2 linked regions of the Sus scrofa genome follow. The protein of the gene in region 1 interacts with the protein of each later gene in a pairwise test. Links are inferred from orthologs where the notes say so. Each region holds a gene or a part of one and is shown in the gene's direction. Other genes may lie near its edges.

The links.
Region 2: the proteins of MAP1A (region 1) and RHOB interact in a two-hybrid assay, tested with the Homo sapiens proteins (2 studies listed by BioGRID and IntAct). The link is inferred for Sus scrofa from reciprocal best matches to the Homo sapiens genes MAP1A and RHOB.

What each region holds. Positions count from the first base shown.
Region 1 is NC_010443.5:127,933,884-127,938,473, reverse strand, and holds the start of MAP1A (microtubule-associated protein 1A), read left to right. Parts: upstream 1-1,521; 5' UTR 1,522-1,549; coding exon 1,550-1,787; intron 1,788-2,718; coding exon 2,719-2,820; intron 2,821-4,590. UniProt on the Homo sapiens protein: Structural protein involved in the filamentous cross-bridging between microtubules and other skeletal elements.
Region 2 is NC_010445.4:117,774,300-117,777,151, reverse strand, and holds RHOB (rho-related GTP-binding protein RhoB), read left to right. Parts: upstream 1-1,691; coding exon 1,692-2,282; downstream 2,283-2,852. UniProt on the Homo sapiens protein: Mediates apoptosis in neoplastically transformed cells after DNA damage. Not essential for development but affects cell adhesion and growth factor signaling in transformed cells. Plays a negative role in tumorigenesis as deletion causes tumor formation.

The sequences.
Region 1 (4,590 bases):
CAACCTATTCTGTCTCTGCCTCCACGTGGCACTCTTTTTTGATTGCGGAAGAGGAGGCCTGCATATCTCTCTATGCTCTTTGCCAGATTCAGACGTGCAAATGGTGGGGTGGAGGTGTAGCAGAGCATTGTCTCATGTGTCATATAGGGTGAGGCATCCTCACCATCTTATGTTCTGCCGGTACTATTTCCCCCTCTCTGCTATAAAAGGGATTTTCAGGGCCATGTCAAATTTTTTTAATTGAGATAATTGACATAGAGCATTATGTTAGTTTCTGGTAGGGCCACGTCCAAATCGCAGAATGGATTGGATGTTTTGCTAAATATATGTCCCATGATAGGAACTAGGATTGCTGCGAGGTACTTAAAATGCAGACACTATCCAATCCTCCTCAGGGCCTCCGGAGAGGAGGTGGATCAGAACACCGCTCACAGGCAGCCTTGCTCAATCAGGTACTGTGCTCCTCTTCCTTCATTATACCATTCGGAAACTGTAAGACAAATGAGACCCAAAAAAGTACTGCTGGAGCCCTAGGGTTAAAGACAGGCTCTGTCTGATACGTATACATACAGAATGACTCAGTATCCTGAGTAAAAGAAGACACTGGAGTGCAGAGTAGGTAGTGGGGACACACTGAGGAATGGGGGAGGGGTAGACTTGCAGACCGCACCACTTGTACAAGGATGTTCCAGTCAGTCATAAAACAGTGTCAGCCTCCTTAGTCTTCTTTCACATCCCCCGGCTTTTTGCATTTTGGAAGGGCCAAGCCCTCTCTTGGTTCAAACATTGTCCCTTCTGTTTTGAGAATTCACTGGGGAAGTAATACCATTGCCTTCCAAGGTTACCCAACTCACTGTGTCACATTATTTGTAGTTGGGAAGGTCTTGCTTGGGTTTACTGAAACACCCCTTGCTGCAGTCTGAGCTCACTGCACTCAGCAGAGATGGAGACCAGCCAAACACTATCTTCGGAATAACAACTCACCAGGGACTCAGGGCCGGAAGGTCATTCTGTCCCTCTGATACTGCACAGCTTCCCAGTGCACACCCAGGGCCCGAGGCTATGAGGTCAGGAAAAAAAAAAACAAACAAACCCAAATTGTGTTAACACCAACATGGAAGGACAGAAGGATGCAACATAAACTCGAGGCAGAGAGGGACAAGATGGCTCCCCTCAGTTCGGGTGAGGCTGCGGAATTGCCAGATAGTACTTTTCCGGGGAAACATCCTAACTAGAAGCTTCTGGTGCCGAGGTACTAGACTCGCCCCTCCACCCGGTCCCTCAGATAACCCACTCCTACCCAAGTCGGAGTGAGATCTCTCAGGAAAATGAGTGGGGGCGGAGTGGGACAGCCACCAACCCCCGAGCCCCTCCCCAGGCCCAGCGAAACCGCAGAGCAGAGCTCCGCGGCCCCTTCCCAGCCGCTGCGGCGCCAGTGCTCCGCCCCCTGACAGGCAGCAGCCAATGAGCGGCTCCTGCCGCCGGCCTTTAAGAACCGCGCGCACTCTCCCAGCCGCCGACGCCGGCCTTGCACTCCAAAGGAGTTTCCATGGAGACCGAGGCTGGGCCCGGGCGGCCTCGCGGCGTTGCCATGGAGACAAGTCCCGGGCTAGGGCTCCGAAGCCCCGGCTCTCCGCTGGCTCAGAACCCCGCGGAGCCGCTGTACAAGGCCGGAGCCGCCGCGGCGGCAGCACGCTGGGACCTAAGGAAACACTCTTTGCTCATTGTGATCGGCGATATCGGTTCGGAGAGTCAGCTGAGGGCCGTGCGGGCCCACCTTGAACAAGGTGAGCTGCTGTCCTGGATGCTCTCGGGACATCCTTCATCCCGTGCTTCTTTGCCATCTGCATCCTCCAACCGTAGTGTGCTTTTCTTGAGATCTGCGCGCCCTGTTATCTGAATCATCAGCCCCTGGCCTGTCACCTCCATCCTCTGTGTCACACATCTGTATTCCCCCACCCCAGCTGCCAACATCTCGCTTCCCCATCCTTCCCGCACACCCTGTGGTGTTCCACAAACTCCCTGAGGAGGGGTGGGGAGCTCTGTGTACTGCCTGGGGAGCCCTTTCTAGTTGCACCCCTCTCTCCTGCAGTGTCATGGGCCAGACGCCCTAAAAGTCCTCACCATCCCCTGGAGAGTCCAGGTCCCTACCTTAATTTCTTCTTTAGGTTTCTGAACAGGCACAGGGTGCTTTCTGAACGCCGCAGACAAATCTCAAATATCCCAGTGCCAGCGGCCAGACTGAGAGTGACCTTCGTGACCACAGGCTTCTCAGTCCTTCATTGCCTGTGGCGCAGTGCTGCGGAGCCACCTGCGGGTGGAAGCCAGCCGCGGAGGAGTGTAGGCAAGGAGGGGACCACAGAAGGAGAATTTAGAAACCTACCTAGCTGTATCCAGAAGGAAGGGGCTCTTGGGTGTCATTTCTATCTCACCTGGTCAACTCTGCAAGAAAATTCCTACATACAAACTTGTTAATGACCAAATTTAGCCTAAACTCTGCCCTTCTCCCTCTGGCTCCAGCAAAGCCCAAGAAAGGCACAGGATGGGAGACAGGCAAAGGTACTAGCCACCCTTCTCAAAGACATCAGTGAGGCTGATCATAGCAATTGCTCTTATCCCTTCCTTCTCCTTACCCCTTCTGTGAGTTTGGAAGTTCTCTCAGAAGTCTAGTCCCTCTGACCTTATCTAGGTCCCTCTTTGTTTCTTTTTCTCTCACAGGCATTCTCTCCTGGAACATTGACTTATCATCCATTGACTTGAACCAACAATTGAGACTCTTCATTACCCGGCATCTAGCTCACTTCTCCTCAGAGGTCAAAGGTTAGGATTAGTATCAATTTGTCTCTGTCCTTTGGGTGAGGGCTGGTCACAGAAGATCAGAGGTCCAGTCTTCCAGGCAGAACTGGCCTTGTGGGAGGATTGGGTGGGGAGGAAGGGAGAGACGCCTGAGGGGAAAGTTGTAAAGCTCCCATAGCTATCCCTACATACCCGCACACTGCAGACAGATGGTATGATGGTGGGGGAAGCCTAAAGAACATAATTTCTACCTCAGAAGAGGGTAGTTTTATGAACAGCTGTTGACATGCACTAAGAGAATGAGGTATCAATCATCTGTGTAAAAATTCGCTCTTTTTTGTGTGTATTCCCTTTTCTGTATACCCTGGCCTCCTTGCTTCCCTTTACAAAAGCCCTTGAACCCCAGACTCACCTTCCCAGCTTCTTGCTTAGCATTTTTTTCTCAAGCTACAGAGCCTACCCTCCAGAATTCAGGGTTTCTGGTTCCTCCTTTGGCTCAGTCAACCGATGTCCAGAGCAGAGCAGAAACATTGTACCAAAGACCGATGAGCACCATGAAATCCAGAGTGGAAGCAGGTTTTCCTGGATTTACTTCTGCAAGAGCTAGTCATACTTTGAGGTTTGGCTCTGAAATCAAAGTTCACGGTTTGCAATTTCCCATTCTGCTGGGTAGAAGAAATGGTCAGGAATTTAAGAAAACAATATTTTAGGAACTGCTATTCCATGACAGTATCTGTGGGGAAACTACAGAAAGCCGTATATCTCATTGTTAAAGTGCTGGGCATCTGATAATGTTATTGGTAAATGCTGACAAGCTAATTCGTACACCATTGTTTTTATGGAATATAAGTCTACCCAACTCAGCAGTCACTGCTGGAGTTCCCTTGTAGCTCAGCAGGTTAAAGATCCGGTGTTGTCACTGCTGTGGCTTTGGTTACAGCTGTGGCTTGGGTTCATCCCCTTGTCTGGGAACTTCCGCATGCTGTGAGCATGGCGAAAAAAGAACAAAAGTCATTGCCACCAAATGACTGAATTTATATCTTATATAGATAATTCTCAATTATCCAGTATAATAGATAATCACCTCCCCTTCTTTTCTGCTCCTCCTGCTAATTGCCACATCTTTGGTCATTTCCCTGATCACCTATTCCTCTAGAGTTGATCCTGGAGAGAGCAGACAAGGTTAACATGACTAATGCTCCATCATCTTAGGAATATATGCAGCACTTTAAAAATTTGAGGCTGACGTCTTCTTGATGTGACTGGCTTCCTGTGAAGCTAGCCAGTCACTGTTTGAGACTGCCTTCTGTTTACAATTACTCATGTCATTGCTTCCTCCATCAGCTCTAGTGATTGACAAGTGACAGTTTCATAACTTTATTAATCCTACGAGCTTTTGTACAAGGCTGGATAAGGGAATGACAGCAGATGAAATTAACAACTGGATTGAAGTTTGGAGAGTATCTGCTGATGTTATTAATTCACACTGAATTCTCTAACCTTGTTCTTTTAGACACAGATGTAAGAGTAGATGCTTTCTGGAATGACATAGGAATGATCATAACTTAAAACAAAATAATTAGCCATTCTTCAGAATAAGATGTGGGAATACTTGGGAAAATGCTTACAGGGAGATGTATAGTTACTGTCAGGGACCTCTCAGAAACGAGTACCAATATGTAAACAGCTACTAGGTCCTTTCAATCAAAGAGTTTTACTATGGTGTCCATAAGGGGCTTAGGCCATTATACCTAAGATCAGGGCTTACTTTTGAATATTGTTAGTTTTATGGTG
Region 2 (2,852 bases), on another chromosome or scaffold:
AGTTGGTACTTGTCCTCCATGATTGGCCTGCCTCCTGAGTTTCAACTCTCTCTTTCCACTGAGGGTAGCCCCAGTAAGCTATTCTCTGTTCCTAGAATCTGTCCTACTCTTTGTCACATCTCTGCTTTGGTTCAAGCTCTTCCTCCTCCTTGGGTGGTCCTCCCTCCCTACCTCCATCCTTCTTCTCACCCCTTCTGTCCATTGGGACCCATCCACTCAGAAGCTTCTAGATCAGACACAGGTGCCATCTCCTACAGGATACAAGGAAGAGATGGATTAAGTCCTGGTGGATAGCAGGAGACTAGGAGCTAGCACCCCACTAGACACTGATTTGCTATGTCCCAGCCTTCAAGTTTCTCCTGCTACTCCCCAGGGGGACCTCAGCCTCTTCTAGCCCAGTGGGGTGGGGGTGGGGATTTGGATTTTATTGTACTGTTTACCTCAGGCAGTTCTCTGCCTTATGACCAGGATCCGAATTAATCTTGAAATCCAGGGCTGAGGCTGCCTTTTTCTGCTTGGTAACTTCTTCCCAGCGGACCTCAAGTTCTGCAACCAACCTCGACCTTCCCTTTTCACCGTCCCTCCTTCTCCGAATCTTTACCTAAAGACCTAGGCTGGGTGCCGAGAAGGGGGTAGGCGATAGGACTTGGAGGAGCCAGAAGCTCGGCCCAGGGTCACCTAATTTACAGCCACCATCTCTAAGATCCAAACCCCGGGCTGCTCTAGGCGGGTACCCTGGTGGAAGGACAGGGATGGCAGACTCGACCAGGGGTGGGCCCGCTTCTGAAAGAAAAGGGAAAAGACCTTGCTTGGGAACAAACGAATGTGTGTGTGCGCGCGCGTTCACTTAAAAACAAAACCAAGTTAAAGGAACCGCTCGGTCCCCCACAGGTCCGACCACCCGCTGGGAGTTTGCGAAGCCAGCGCGGCAATTTTGAGTGGGAGGGAGTCGTTAACGCCCCACAAAGTGCGGCTTCTTTCTGAACCTCTCGTCCAGGCCCTGCGGGCTCCTGGTAGCTAGCTCTTGGCCTCCCGCCCCACGCGCAGAAGCTGCGGCGAAGGAGGGAACCCTGGTGTCGCCGGAGCCCCGCAGCGCCAGCCGCGGCGCACGCTCCCCGGTCGCCGCCTCTCCCAGCCCCGCGGCCTGGGCCGTCAATCAAGCTCGCCCGGCCCCGCCCCTGGGCTGCAGCGGACGGCCAATCAGAGCCAAGCTCCGCAGCGATGAGCTCAGTCGGCTCGCTTGCCATTGGGCGGCTATATTAAGAAAGTCGCCGAACTCTTTAAATAGCGGGCGCTAGGGCCGCAGCCTGCATCTGCCACCGCAGTCTGCCTGCTTTCGTTCGTTTTCCTGTACCTTTGCTGAGGCCTAGAGCGACCCGGGAGGAAGCTAGGCCGGGTCTGCTACTCTAGTCACCGTTTGCGCACAAAGGCGCCAACCCCGGATCCGGGGCGAGGAGGGCCGCCACCGCTCCGGAGCAGCGCGGAGACGTACGGTGCGCCCTATGCTCCCGCGCCCCTACCGCCCACGCCGCGGCTTCCTGAGCACAGCGAGAGAACGCGCCACCCCGGGGCCTGGGTGCAGCTAGCGACCCTTGCCCCTAGCGCGCAGCCCGAGGTGAGCAGTGAGCGGCCAGCGGGACGGCAGCGAGGCGTTCGCGGGCCCCCTCTTGCTGCCCGGGCCCGGCCCGCTCATGGCGGCCATCCGCAAGAAGCTGGTGGTGGTGGGCGACGGCGCGTGCGGCAAGACGTGCCTGCTGATCGTGTTCAGTAAGGACGAGTTCCCTGAGGTGTACGTGCCCACAGTCTTTGAGAACTATGTGGCCGACATCGAAGTGGACGGCAAGCAGGTGGAGCTGGCGCTGTGGGACACAGCGGGCCAGGAGGACTACGATCGCCTGCGGCCGCTCTCCTACCCGGACACCGACGTGATCCTTATGTGCTTCTCGGTGGACAGCCCGGATTCCCTGGAGAACATCCCCGAGAAGTGGGTGCCCGAGGTGAAGCACTTCTGCCCCAACGTGCCCATCATCCTGGTGGCCAACAAGAAAGACCTGCGCAGCGACGAGCACGTCCGCACTGAGCTGGCCCGCATGAAGCAGGAACCCGTGCGCACGGATGACGGCCGCGCCATGGCCGTGCGCATCCAAGCCTACGACTACCTCGAGTGCTCTGCCAAGACCAAGGAGGGCGTGCGCGAGGTCTTCGAGACGGCCACGCGAGCCGCGCTGCAGAAACGCTACGGCTCCCAGAACGGCTGCATCAACTGCTGCAAGGTGCTATGAGGGCCGCGCCCGCCTGCCTGCCCCTGCGGGCACGGCTCCCCCACCCCGGCCGGTCCCCCACGAGGCCGGAGAAGGGAGACCCGCGCCCCCCCCACGGACCCCACCGGACGGCCTGGCGTCTGCCCTCCGGACCCGCAGCCGTGGCCTGGCGGCTGTGGCTCTGGCGCCGGGAATCGGCGCGGTAGGCACCGGGCGCCCCCTTTCCAAGTGTCTGTGTGCGTCCCGCTGTGTTGCACAGGCCTGGGCGCCCCGCTGAGTGCCAAGGGATCCCCGAAGACCCTGTTCTGAAGAGCCAAGCCTCTTCGGAGGGTGTGGCTGTGTGTATGTTCAACTCCCCCCGCCCCGTTTTTGCCCCACGCCCGCCTCTGCTACCCCGAGGCGAGCTTGGCCCCGGGGTGCGGCCGCGCCCCATCATCAGATGTTCTCCCATAACCAGCGAGCGCCTGCTATGCCCCTGTCTGTAACATAGACCACGGGAACTGCGGGAGGGGAGGGCTGGGGTGGATGGGGTGTTATATAAATATAGATATAATTTTATTTTCGGAGGTAGGATGGTGTTATTTAATGGTG